Linked DNA regions of Drosophila melanogaster. Changing the gene in region 3 together with the main gene of any one other region gives a genetic interaction. Each region holds a gene or a part of one and is shown on either strand. Other genes may lie near its edges.

Region 1 (4,645 bases), on a different chromosome or scaffold from region 3:
GATAAAAGACCTGGACAATCTACACACATTGAATTTTTCTCAGATTTAATTTGCTAGTAGCTCCACACGGCTATATCAAGGTTAATACTATAAATTCGGCTGGAGTTAATAAATTTTCCGGACGCCAAACAGTGACAGTTACCCCGGCTACGTAGTCCTGAATCCCCCGGCCGCCTTTTGGGAATCGGCCTGGTCCCTCCGGAACTCCATGTCCTGTTGCTGTTCAATGGGGTGGTTTTCGGTTTGTTCGATTGTCCCCCCGACGACTGTCGCTTGGACTTCCCCTTTTCGACGGATTGAGGAGTTGGAAAATTTTTTATTTAAATTTATTTATAGTCAATAAGGTGGGCAGGCCATGCTCTTAAGAGCTTGCTTAACTATTTTAACATAAATATATAATAAATAAATAATACATTTTAAATTATTTAAAAAATTTCCACTCATAAATATATGCTTATATTTTATTTGTGTAAAGTACCTATAATGCCAAATGGTGAGGGATTTACCCATCCCAGTCCTTGTAGAATTCTCTCACGTCTCAAAAGAATAATTCGTCCACTTCATCCAAGTTTTCCCCACACATGTATAACCGAAACAGAGGAACACGCATAATAATAATAAATATTGATAGAACTAAAGTATAAACAGCGACGGGCAGCTTCAAGGGAAATACGGCAGAAAGTAACAACAACTCGGGGTCTCCGAGGTGTCACAGCTACCTGTACTCGCACCTGGGATCTCGAGGTTGCAAGGGCGCTGGGTTCACAGAATGTAGAGACAAGTTCAAGATTTATGTGCCTACCGAGTAAAACAAAAGAAGAGCAGCATGTGTCCCACAGAGAAGCCTCGTCAGTCCAAGCAGTCAGCCCCACCAGTGGCCATATATGCCGTCATCAAGGTGTTCTGGTGACAGCCCACACACTGGCCATAATTGCACCGATCTGCTGCCAAGTTTGAGCAGAACCTGACTTCCAGTTGCGAGCGCACAGCTGTGGCCGAAAGCATGACGTTGGCCTGGAGGCGCTCCAAAGACACTTGGATACCACCTGGATACTTGGAAACTTAGTCTAGAGTGCTTCGAATCAAAGCATTTTTATAAATTTTAATCACAAACAAACATTAAAGAATATGGCAAAAAATATTTAAATTTAAAAAAACCTTAGCTAGGGAATATAGGGTTTTTTGTTGAGGTTTCCAGCCCAATGTTTCTCTATGTGCACACTTGCGATATGGGATGACCGCCGCCCGACCCTCTAATTATGCCGCACTCATTAGAAAGACAATCTGGACCCGCAGCCGTAGGTGTATTAAAGGGAGCCAGCGGAGCGTGGCCGCCAGTCCCGCCGGTCATCAAGTGCAGCTCAGCTGGACGACGTGTTGCTGCTGTAAAACTGGCAGCGACACCGCGGCCACCGCCAATTGAGGCGATACTATACTATGCCTTAGTGAAGAGATCGTCGGAAGAGCGCACATAGACTTGCCAATTGCTCCGAAAATCCCAGAGCGCCGCCACTCCGAATCTTGGCAAGACCGGTTGTCGGCCATCGTCTTGGCGTTTTCGTCGGAGTGCGAGTGGCTCGGTTTCGGGCCCAGTCAGTCTTGGCCAGGTCGGTGTGCGAGACACATCCACAGCGCTCAACGAACCTCTATCCCATCGATCCCATCGCTTCGATTTCGATTGCTATTCCGATTCGTTTCGATCCCGAATCGTGCGTGAGTTTTTCGAGTGGCGTAGCTCTGCGGTTATGGCTCCGTTTACCCGGTTCTAATTGGATCGTGCGTGTGGATTTGAAACGGCTTTCCGTGGCTCCAAGAGACGTTCATGGGTTTCCGAGATTTGAAATAGTTGCGGTTGTTGCTGTTGTGCCTGTGATGTTTCTGTCGTGATTTTCTCTGATTGTTGTTGCCCTTGGGAAGCGATTAAGCTCGACGGGTGGTTGAACCGGGCCAGTAAATACGTGCTGAATGATTTGTGAATCTTTTGAATATTTCGCGTTGTTTTCTGGGGAAGTGCAAAAGTGTCGGGAAGTTTGTTGCCTCAGTCTTTTGTGTTGAGACGGCGTAATAGCAGCAGCAGCAGCAGCAACAACAACAGCTCGGATTATTTGCCACAATTCGCACAAAGAGCAGCTCTTAGCGTCTCTTTACCACTCTTGGCCAACTCTTAAATGTGCAATTCCCGCAGCGTTAACATGTAAAACGAGTGTTGGCCACAAAACGAAATAATTATAGAGGAAGCCCGCAAAAAAAAAAAAAAACACTTAGGAAGTACATAAAAACAAAATCAAACTAATGTGAAACCAAAATTCGTGAAAATATCTAAAATCATCATCGTTCCGGGCAACCAGTTTAAGGCACAGCGAAATCGCAACAACGGACACATAACAAATTGGATTACGCAAAAAGGGCGAAGTTGGCTAGAGGTGAGTGTTGCGGAGTTGCTGTTTGAAAAGCCATAATCGAATAACCAGAAACCCGAAACCCGCAAAAAGAAACAGTTAAAATCAGGCAGAAAATCAAAGCTGTGCCGTTTGCAAAAACAAACCCAAAACAGCCTTAAAAGATGACTTCATAAATCGCCGACGCTGTGGATGTGCCAAAAATCCATCAGCCAAACCGGTTGGCTTCACTTCGCCTCGCTCGAAATTCGGAATTCACGGAATACCAATACTTGTACTCGGGGGAACAAATTGAAGAAGCGTTGCAATCTGTTTTCTGTGCAAATGAAATGGGCCTTATCTGAAAAGCGGCCTGAGAAGCCATCTGTCCGGGGATCTGAACCTGTTTGCCAAGGTTGCCAGTGGCCGATGTTGGCTGCCAAGTTCGCAGCCAGTTGCATCATCTGGGGACACAAATATGGCCGCGATGGGGTTGGCCATCGGCAATTGGCTATTTGAGTAGCCACATCACGGACATCCGTCTTCCATCCGCTTTTCCTGCCTTCTTTCCCGTTTTTCAATGCCCATTTCTGGATGCGCACCGCATAAGTAATGTGTCATCGGGCTCTTGGAATCAAAGGTCCATTCACATTTACCCCCACTCCGTGTGCGGCCATTATAAGCCAGAATCTGTTGCTAATTGGCTGACCCAACATTACCCACATGAGCTGAGACCGGGTTCTTCTCCTTGTGGAACTTTTAGCACTTCCACGGATCACACAGCCATAATTATGTTCGTTCCATTGTGTTCGGGTTGGCGTCTAAAGAAGCAATTAGAAATGTTGATTGATGGAGAGATGAACCCCGAACCCATCCCGATCCGACACTTGCATCATCTTTGGACTATGGGAATGTGATGCACGGCCTTTCCCTTTTCGGTGATGCATGGCCTATTAATTGGTTAATTTGTGGTTTGTTAGCCATCAAAATATTGTAGTTGGCCAATGTAATGGTCTTCATCTGCGTTGAATACAACGCCTTGACTAGTGAATAATGGCTCATCCGCCAAAGGCGTTTATCTCCAACTTCTGTTGGATATTTCCAAGTTCTCCGGCATTCTCGGAAAGCTTTGCGTCGAGGAACGCCAACGCAAGCGTAAAATTTGTATAATTAAAAGGCGAATCTGCGCCCGAGCTGCTCGAATACCAGTTTCTGAGCCATCGTGTAGTTAACTTGTTTATATAACAGCCAGACAACAACTCGCAGTGACCTTGAAGCGGGCACAAAATAAGGTAAAGACGGAAAATATGATTGTACGTATAATTTCGTATTATTTTGCTGCCTGGCGATGTGTGTGCTCAGCTAAGTGAGAGAAGTGAAGACATATGACGGATTTTTGGGGGTTTATGAACTAAGCCGAGAAATGCGTGTGGGCTTGATTGCCAAAAGCTGTGTGATTGATTTATAATCTCCCGCGGAAGAACTAACAAAGAAAGCGCCAAAAATGGTGAGGTCATTCAACCAGGCCAAGACCTTTTCAGCGTTAGATTTCCGCCTGCTCGTTGGTATTGATTTACAGTTGAAACGAAAGACTTAGGCAACGAACTTCGCGACTGCATTACTCATACGACACGTTGGCGCTCAGCACTAATTATGCAAAAACCCAAATGCTAGCGAAAGGCGTGCCCCAAACCCAGCCGTGAGTCACAAGCTTCGCTTGCCCCCCGTTAAACGGACACTCTGCATTGGGTTGCTTGTTTGTTTTCGGCCAAAATGAAAAGTCGTCTGGCTAGTTGATCCCCCACTCTCCAGCCTCCTCCACCACCACTGGCGAATTAAACCAACATTGGCAAACTCAAGCGGACTTAAATGCAGGCTTTTACCTTAGATCAACCCCACGCAAAACCCCGCGACTGCAGTCGACCGACCACGAGGTTGTTCAATTCATTCCAAACACTTTCAAATCCAAGCCTTAAAAGGGGAGTGGCAGGCCAAGACTTTTGAACTGCGGACTGTGCTCGAAGGAAGTGGGCACAGAACTGTGGCCAATACTTGGTGTGTTAAGTTCTCAGACACTAAGATATAAGATAAATAAATTATTGTAATATAGTAGCGATCGTCTATGATATCAATGTCTAAGTTTAGCATTTATGACACTACAAGTGATTTATCTCAGTGAAGTTCTACGCTCATTAACTTCAAGTACGAGACTATTTATGGTTTAGAGGAAATCCTCCTCAAAAGTTAGTTACTTAAGTACTGAGCCG
Region 2 (4,833 bases), about 12 Mb from region 3:
AAATCAGGACAATATCTCTAAATAATATGGGTTTAGTTACTTGCAAATGCAGAACACTTTTTAAACGGAGTATATCTTCTTTTTGCAGGAGATGCCACTGATGCGAGAACAGGATCGACCGAGAAGCGAATCACCTTCACCCTGGCTCCCAGTTCGGCCGAATGCTCGCCGTCGGGTAGCCAAACGACACTTACTCCCAAAAAGTTCGAGGCCATTGCCGAGGAGGAGAAGGAGGACGACAAGGCCGATGAGGAGGAGGAGATCATGGAGGAGGTGGTGCTGCGACCTCGCCTCATCGACCGGCATCCTCATCTGCTGGCCAACCCCAGTGGACTGACGACCACGCCCAAACGGATCCTGCGATCCGCCAAGAGCGTTCCGCACATGAATGTCCGTTCGTCGGCCAGTGAGACGGATATATTCTCCATTAGCGGTACGATGACCGGAAGCAGTCAGATCAGCATGACGCCGGAGGTGCCATCGATATCGTTCAGTAATCTGCCTAAGAACTACGAGGACACGCCCACTATTGAGAAGTACCGGGTATCGCAGAGTCTCTATTCCATTCAAACGGCGAATGCTGCTCGGGCCACACAGGATGATTACTCCATGCCGCGCTACTTCCGTCGATCTGCCATGCTATTGACCCAGAGCTCTGAGGTGCTGCCCGGCGCCAGTTCACTGGCCTCCATGTCGCCATCGATGGCCTCGTCCTCTGCCTCGCCCGGGTCCTCCAAGGACGAACTGCGACGGCCAGAGAAGGAGAAGAGCAAACGACTCCAGATGCTGCGTGGCAATCTACCGCCCTTACTTATTCATTCCGTGTCCTTCAAACGAAATCGCGACGAGGGCAAGCAGGTTGACTAGTCGCACTGCAGATATACATATTTATTTGTTAATCACTTTGTCCATGTTTTTAATGTTTTAAATTTATTAGCCTTTAGTACCTGCTTATGCGTTTTCTGTATTATCTTCTAAGCAATGACCTTGTCCAAACAATTCCTCAGTATTCAGATGTACTTCATTTTGAATTAATGATTGATATTACAAAATAAATTGTATTTTACCACAAAAAACAGCGATTAAAGATCCTACTTAATAAATCTTTATAAAAATCTAAACGATATCTATTTGTACCATTTTAAAAGAAATAAATGCGAGCTTGAAAAAAAATGCACTTATCTCCCCGACGGGGAATTGAACCCCGGTCTCCCGCGTGACAGGCGGGGATACTAACCACTATACTATCGAGGATGTTATACAAAGTGAGTCAAACTCGGGTTTTCCGTTTGCGGAGTGTGAATGCTTGTTTCAATTTCATCTGTTCCCCATTTGTACTCTGAAGACAGTGTGCAAGCTCGAGACGGTTGTTTGACAGTGGGTAGACAACATCCTCGATAGTATAGTGGTTAGTATCCCCGCCTGTCACGCGGGAGACCGGGGTTCAATTCCCCGTCGGGGAGAGATGTAAAAATTACTTTTTGTTGATTGTTTTAATTTATTAATTTAATTTTTTAATTTTTTAATTTCAAAATTTAAGTAATGCAATACATGTTTCAGACCAACAAATTAAAATAAAAAATTGCACCATATAGCTTAAAAAAACGTCAAACATGTATATTTAATTAGGTCATCCTGGAAGTGATATATAATGAAACACATTTCAACGGGTATATAAGTTTTGTTAAGGGGTAACTGTAAGCCGGACCCATTTAGCTTACCACCCAATATGGTAGCACTGGCTGTAGAAATTCCCAATGGCAACGCTAGTCGACCAGTTTTCATTCGTATTGGCGTGTGTGTTGTTTGTACAACAAAACATTCTAGTTGTTTTATTTGCAAGGTGCTCATATAAAAACATAAACAATATATTTCGTAGAGTGCCCTAATAATTTATTAAGTTGTGAATTAAACAAATATGAATAAGAAGCGTGTCCAAGTGAATTGGTTAAATTGTAAATTATAAATAAAGCAATACATATAAACGGCCGGCAAAACAGAGAGCGCGTTTTAAGAGAGAACCTAATAGGAAAAGAGTGTAGAGCTGCCAGGTTTCAATTAGGTACCAGGTACCAAACGTATTTATTATTCGAGAAGAACTATTTTTGGTGACTAAATATGGTTTCTGATTATAGAAGTGTTCTCCTAATATATAATTTTTAAAAATTTTTTTCTACACGTGCCCTCAGATTGTTGATATTCAAAATTCGTACACAAACGCCCTTGACAGGCGCAGTCTCACCCGCGCCCACTGAGAGCGGAACGACGGAAATTTCAAACATTATTTCTATTTTCTATTTGAATTGAAACTATGTATTTTCCATAATTTTCAAAATATTCTTGATTTTTTTTGAATAACTAAATTAATTATTTTAAGTATCGCGAGGGAGAATAAGAGTTTAAAGCGGCCGATTATATTGAGGGGGAGTTTCAGTCAACGAAAAGGAAATAGTGAGAGGAGAGGGCTTATTGAAGAGAGCCTCTCATTTTAAAATTTCTCTTTAAGCGTGTTCCTTCTAAAGGACACAAGAAACTAATATGTTTATGAAATAAGAAACTTAACCGTGTATGTGTTTTCCAATTTTGCGTGAACAAATAAAAGAGCTCAAGCATTTTATCGTTTGAGTAATTTTAGATAAAAATTTATTAATATTTTTTAATGTTTTCAATTTGCCATAGACAACATTTTTTCCAATAAAATTCGGTAATATAAATAACATGGTGTTATGGCCTGCAATTTTTATATAAATTTTTAGTAGCACGCTCTTAGTTTAATATTTAGGTCAATAAAATAATTATCCTTATTGTTTTTTTTTTTAATTTGCATATTGTTTGTTGACCAGCTGTTAAGAGAAGAGAGGAGAGAGAAAAAGAGAACCGAAAAAGTGACCGTTCGCGACTTCGCAGTCAGCGCTGGAAAACGCACTAACGCGCGGAAAATGCCCTAGCGCCAGAGAAAGTGCCATTTGAGACTGAACTCTCTTTCGTGCGAGTTCCCTTTTCATTCGAAAATTTAACGCCCGCGCTGCTGCAGCGCGTTGTTGCTCCGGTTGGAAAATATCTGAAAACAGCATTAATAAATAAACAAAAATATTGGATAAATCGCCGGTAGAAACGCTGCATAAAACGAAATTTGGTTTCTTGTAAAATATTATTTTTCAAGATATTTTCTTGTTAATTTCCGGATATTCGACAAGGATATAAATGTTTCTTTCGCGTTGATAAACAAATTCCAGCACCGCTACCTTTGTGTCGCGCAATTGTGAAAAGTGATTTGTCCATTGTGTACATTAATTAATAAATTGGTAATTGCTCAATTTAGAAACATGTGCAATCGAGAGCTAGTGTGAGTGTTTGTGTGCAACAATAATAAAGCCGAAAATTGCCCAATTGCAATTGGCAATCACAACAAAATTGGAATATTATGGCACATTAGAAAAAGAAAATAACGAAAACTGTGTTTCCACCCAAAGTTTAGGCCGCAGCAGAGCGAATCCACAAAAATATACAATTTCGGCAATTTTTCCACATATTTTTCATTGATTTTTCGCCATCCTGCGGGTGTGAGCAAGAGGGCGAGAGAGTTGAAAGGAGAGCCAGGCTTTTGTATTCTGTTTTGGGTACGTTTTGGGAATGAAACGGTCCTGGCTCTCGCTAACCCACCCTCCCTCTCTCTTTGGGATTATCCTTTTTATATTTTGTTTATTTCTCTATTTTCCTGGCCACGTTTTGTGCACCATTCGTTTCGCTGCATTTCATTCTCGCGGCGTTTCAAATTGACTCAGAGAGAGTGAGAGTAAGAGTGGGAGAGAGCAGCACTCTCTTATTCTTCTTCCTCAAACTCACGCACCCCCCGCATAATGTTTTTCGACTCTGCCTTGTGCCCCCCATTCGCATCTCTCCGCAGCGCGTTGCCAACCAAAAAAAGAAAACTAAAGTACTGTTGTCATAATAAGAAATTTATCAGGAAAAAAGTTGAATTACAAAGTGTTTCAATTGATATTTCTTGATCATTTCTTCATCAAATCGTGTTTCATATCGTAGCAAATATTAATTTTAATTCAAAAAGCCCTACATGCCAGATATTTGTGTTCAAGATAAGCTCTTCCTGCGGCCATAACTTTTGATTGGGAAACTGAAATCTAATCCAGTTTTCCTTCTCCCATTTCCACAGTATTTAAGCCAGAAACAAAGTGAATAAGGCAAATTTGAATAAAGAAAAAGAATAAACCAAGAAAATATGCTCAGAAATCGCATCCGTAGCCTACTTATCGCATGAAGAACCGGTACCGTTAAGGGATAATCGCCGTCGCGTTAATTCGACTCCTGCACCGCACCGCCCCGCCCCCCCGTTCGTCGTTTCGTCTATTCATATATCCGATATAACCGTTATCGCGCCCGTGCATCTGCGTCTGCATCTGTGTGCGTGAGTCCTTGTATCCTCTGTACATATGTACAATATTTGTCGTCGTCGTCGTCGTGCATCGTTGTTGTTGTTCTTGCTGTTATCCTATTATTCATCGTCGTCCGCTGGCATTAATCTGCGTATAAAGTAAATATAACAAATTTGTGTTCTTCGGTGTTGTCTCGTGTAAGTGTCTATAATTTGTTTAAGTACGACAAGCGATCGGTGCGAATCAAAAAATTCCAATTCACCAGTCTGTGTGTGCGAATCGATAATCGAGCTATCAGAACAACCACAACAACAACAACAGCCCAATCAATCGATCAATGTCAGCAAACAAACGATAAACAGGACTCGCTGGGACTAATCAATTGCGTAATCTTCAGAATATTTTGGATTCCAACGTCTACGGAGTTTCAACTTTTGAA
Region 3 (4,874 bases):
TACAGTCAGGCACCAATGCTCACTCATTCGAATGGGCCGAAACCAACGAAGCGCGCGTTTCAAACCGGAATGTGAACCTCACCTTAGCACTGTTCGCAACTAACTGACTCACGAGCTATGGAAGCAAGCGGCGAGAGCTAGTGAGCAAGTTAGGGCTAGCTTTGTTTGCTGCTCAGTTCGCTTGCCGCTGGCTTGCCGTGAAAAAAGCTCCGCGTGAGCCAAGTTACAACTGTACGCAGTCTGTTATCCACATGTTAGCTTGTACTTAACAGTGACTTAAAACCAGCAGTGACGCGCCCTCTCTTTCTGTTAATGAAAACCATTTGAAACTGTAGAAAACTTTTTAAAATACAAATATGTACATACTTGGGGTATATCTAAAATATAACAATAACCAACATTAAAATGTTCTGTTAAATGTTATACTGAAATTAAATAATCTGATCTTAGCTTTCCAAATATTATAATTCAAATGTTGCTGAAACATATTTATTTAACTAGCTTTATACTTTGTTCAGTAAAACAGAACCTTAAATAAGTAAGTTTGGCTATAACATGCTTTGCAATGTTTTTACCAACTACTTCAGTGATCTTAACAGCATCTTATAGCAAGCTTTTTCGATCTCCCGACCACAGCTGCATTAGTAGGCCAACGAGCTGGGCGCTTTTTGTGCATCGTTTTCGAGCGCAGGTAGCATAAAAAGCGTAGTGTTTACGTTGGAAAATGTTTCCAAACCGGTTTCCTTATTCACACTCAAATACACACAACTTCTTTGGGGCGTTGATGTCAAAGAGTTGGCACGGCGACTTGCGTCGAGTTTTATGTAATCTGCATAAAATGGGGGAGTGTTCCAAGGAGCGGTGACGACAGGCGAGTTGGGGAAAGGAAAACAGGGGAGCTGGTAGTGACATTTCATATTTTCTTATCTCGTGACTCGTGGCTTAATTACTTTCACTGCCTTTCTCAACAGCCGCCGACCACAGCAGAAAACCACAAACGAATGAGCCTGCCCAGGAAAATGCCTCGGAAAATGTTGGATTCTAATTATGGTCGTCGTCACACGATGTCGCTTTCCATAATATTTGTTGTATTTGGCTTTTCCGTACTGCTAGTTTGGGTCTTAATAATCATTGTTTTACGCCTATTTTTTACATACTATTTAATTCCCCACTTCTTTATTATTCGCCAACAGAATAACTTTACATCTTAGAAAGGGCATCTTCAATTTTGAAAATTAATTTTTAAAAATTAATTAAAATATTTTGTTATTTTTCTTGTATACAGAGCACAACAAATTCGTTTTAATTTTGGTTGTAACTGCCTCTCATTGTTTTTCTAGTTGACCTGCGTGTTTGCCGCAGGAACAGCAAATAATATTTACAATTTGATTAGGCTACAAACTTTTTGGCAGTTCTTTTACCGTAAGAAACCTTCGAGGAGGCGCTAAATGTGTCGGGTCAAGATAATTTCCACTTCAATGGTTATGTCACGATGATCTAATAAAATGCCTCCCATCTGCATAAAGGCAACTCATCTGCCGAGGCAATAGAGGTCAAGTTTAGTGCGAAAACTCAAAAGAGGAAGGCAAAAATAAAATAGCAAGTGCTAATGGGCCATTACGAAGTCAAAAAAAAAAAAAAAAACAATTGCAGTGCATGGCTAAAGCGAGAAAATCTTTTAAAATACAGAAGGATTTTCTTTTCTTTTTGGCGCTTGTGGAGGCAAGGAAAATGATGTAATAAGAAAAGCAAACACACGCACATACAAGCAGCCCGGAAAATTCTATCTAGACCGAAAAATCAGCATGCAATGCCATCGATGAAGTAAACACAAATGTGGAAAGTGTGTGCGTGTGTGTGGCTGGGTATGGAAAATGGGTGGAAAACCGTATGCGCAATTTTCTTATTGAGCAGATGCTCGAAGGCGTTTAAGTGGGTCAGAAATTGTACAGAGATATTTTCTCTCGCCTTTTTACGTTTATATGTTCTGGTCTACTTGCCATCAGTTCCTTGTGGGGCGTGTTGGAGTTACTACGCAGCAATCCCTTGAGGAAGATCTCATCGTGGTCGGATAGGTCAGTCGAGTTGCGAAAGGCGGCTAAAACGGAGCGAAAGTGTTTTAGATTAATCGCAGTCGTTAAATGACAATCGGAAACAGATGAAATGACATTCGTTTTGGCAGCTTAATGCTACCCTTTTCAATTCATACAATTCATACAATGATGGAATTCTAGAGGGAAATATTTAGATATACATGCATCTGATTTTTCGTTTTATAATCATATTCTTTGTTATCGATTTATTGTAAATACATTTAAAGACCGCATATCTTCAAACAGGTTTCAGATTATTCTTAGCTATGAGTACAAATCATTATATTTACTTCAAGCAGGCTTACTGAAATGCAACATAACTCTTGTCTCGTTTCACTTTTTGAATATGAATTGAAATATTTAGTTTGTAAATCTTTTAACTATTTAAACAACTGAAATCTTCAAAATTAAAACTTTATTAACAGAGCCTTAAAGGAAAAAGAAACAACAATAAAATGATAGTTTGGAATTTCGTATGAACTTCGCTTAAAATTCTCCTTTTGAGGACACCCCTGGCACGTACCGTTATCGGAGGTATCGTCCTCGCCATTCACTTTGTTGTTTCTGGCCAATAGCTCCACTTTATCCTGGCGAGCTTGGCGCCGCGACCGCGCGCTCCACCGAACCATTTTGAAGGAACTGGGAGGTGGCCAAAATAACAGACCGAATGAAGTAACCCCGGAGGACAGTCTCGTATTTCGGCCAAAAAAGGGTTATAACCCTTGTGTTTTTTTTCTTAGCCAGCCATATGCTTAGCTACTTGAACAGAACATGTCTTCCAGTGATAATCACTTGTTGTTATTGTTATAAACACAACGCCACGCAAACAACAAAAACAATAGCGCGGCTAAGAATTTCACTCCTCCAACAGCGCAAAAACAACCGACTTGTTTGTGAGAAAGAGGCTAACTAAACTGAAAACCGCTTTTGTTGCAGGTGATGCCAAAATCAAAGCTCCTTAAAACGAGAAAGCTTTTGCAGACAAAAAGTCAAATAACGTGTGCCTATCGGTTTTTAAATATTGTGCTTATCGGCGCCACTTCTTTGTTGGGTCGGTACGGTAAATGTACTTTATGTACGGAGTTCGAAAGCCTGTCATAAAAATGCATTCCACTGTTCTCAGGCCATTTAAATTTAATATTGTTTATTATCTTTAATTTTGCTTGTGATTGCTTTTTCTATAGCTATAACATAGCTAAAAATGGATGGCTTGGGAATCGCTGATGGTTTGTGCCATTGATAAACCGTGCGTTAATATTATAAAAAATTTACTTCGATTTGTACATAAATATGTACTCTAAACTGGACGACCAATAAATGTTCGTTCATATGCCAATTAGAAATCAATTTAATTAAATAGTCTTTAAATTGCTTATGGAACTTTATTTATGCCTTAACAAAACTCTGGGATGCAACAAACTTCGTTACTTCAATAAATATGCAATATTTTATTTCTATTAATCGAAAGGGTAATAGACGTCGACTTGCCATAGATGAAAAAACATCGTTTCTCGCTTGCGGTATTTTTCGAAGTTTCAGCATGCTTCGGTATTTTTCGGCTGAAACGATGCGACAGCTCTTGTTTTCATTCCGTTTTGAGCAGCGTGCGCGTACGGTGCTTTCCTCGCATGAAGAGTAAAAACAAATTAAATACCACTGTGGAATAACATCTCAGCGAACGAGTATACGTCGGAAACCGATTTGTCGCGCTAAGTAACACGAGATGCTTTTGGGATTCAAAAAAACCCATATTTATGTGATGATATATTAATGTAAACCCACTGTTTCGTTTACATTTTCGTTTTTGAATGACTGGCTGCGGAAATAACTATAGATTCGCGAAAGTACACTAAATCAGGCAGTAAAATCGGATTGGCAATCTTGGGAAAAAATCGAAGGAAAAGAGACGCCAGCAGCTTCCTCGGATTGTTTTGTTGTTTTCAGTTCGTTAGTGTGTGGCCGTTTTTCCGCCTGTGTTTGTGCAACAAAGTCAAAGTCGTCGAAGCTGCTGCAAAAATACGTGAAATGCAAATTGTGAAAAAGTTGCAAAAGCAACAACAGCAACTAGCAACAACCAACAACAACGCAACGACAACTATAACCGCAATCACACGGCCAACGCAACAATAACAACGGCCACAACAAAACGGCTTCGCGTGTTTTGAAAAATTGCATTGCAAATTAGTAATTAGCAACAACTAAAACAATAGCAATAAAAAAAAGGAAAATTGCGCGCCAAAATCGAAAGAAACAAAAGGATTACACATAAACAAACCGAAGAAGCAGAAGCAGCTGAGCGAAAGAGAGAGATAGCGAAAAATCAAAACAGAACAGGCAGAAATTCCTGTTTATCCACCTTCACCTCCGGCGACACCCCCCGTCGTGGTGAGTTACTTGTCTTTCGGTATTTGTGCCTTGTATCTTTCTTTTTGGTTCTTGTTTTATCCTCCGTCCGATTTGCTGTATGTCCTGCTGTAAAAAAAATTCGCCAAAAGTGCAAAAGTCAAGGCCCCCGTTTGATTCGCGCCCCTTTGACCATTGTGCGCAAGAAACCCGCAAATGTGCAAAAAATTTAGCTCAGCCATCGAGAGTCCTTGATTTTAGAGGCACAGTGGTTAAATGAGTGCCAAATGGTCGGCATGGTAACAGAAGTTTATTACATTTTTCTATTCTTAAACTGTTTCTTTATATAAACCTCATAAATAAACGCAGTTTTTAAATATATAAATGCCCAGATACGTTTTGAATTGTTTTATATTGAATGCCCTTTGATATAAAATA

What was found. Genes that interact genetically often act in the same process or in processes that back each other up.
Region 1: of vari (region 3) and pio, changing one enhances a phenotype caused by changing the other (phenotypic enhancement), as found in Drosophila melanogaster (one study listed by BioGRID).
Region 2: of vari (region 3) and Sema1a, changing one enhances a phenotype caused by changing the other (phenotypic enhancement), as found in Drosophila melanogaster (one study listed by BioGRID).

What each region holds. Positions count from the first base shown.
Region 1 is NT_033778.4:24,579,656-24,584,300, forward strand, and holds the start of pio (piopio), read left to right. Parts: upstream 1-1,589; 5' UTR 1,590-1,713; exon of another isoform or gene 1,714-2,185; 5' UTR 2,186-2,423; intron 2,424-4,645.
Region 2 is NT_033779.5:8,540,370-8,545,202, forward strand, and holds the start of Sema1a (semaphorin 1a), read left to right. Parts: upstream 1-1,777; 5' UTR 1,778-1,843; intron 1,844-2,843; exon of another isoform or gene 2,844-3,346; intron 3,347-4,174; 5' UTR 4,175-4,833. Other genes in the region: CG17834 (uncharacterized protein), read left to right, coding at 89-867. UniProt on the Drosophila melanogaster protein: Involved in growth cone guidance through its role in axonal repulsion. Function in neurons is essential for adult survival, motor neuron survival, and is important for climbing behavior and activity.
Region 3 is NT_033779.5:20,794,037-20,798,910, forward strand, and holds the start of vari (varicose), read right to left. Parts: upstream 3,007-4,874; 5' UTR 2,723-3,006; coding exon 2,617-2,722; intron 2,099-2,616; coding exon 2,001-2,098; intron 1,220-2,000; exon of another isoform or gene 972-1,219; intron 903-971; exon of another isoform or gene 770-902; intron 111-769; exon of another isoform or gene 24-110; intron 1-23.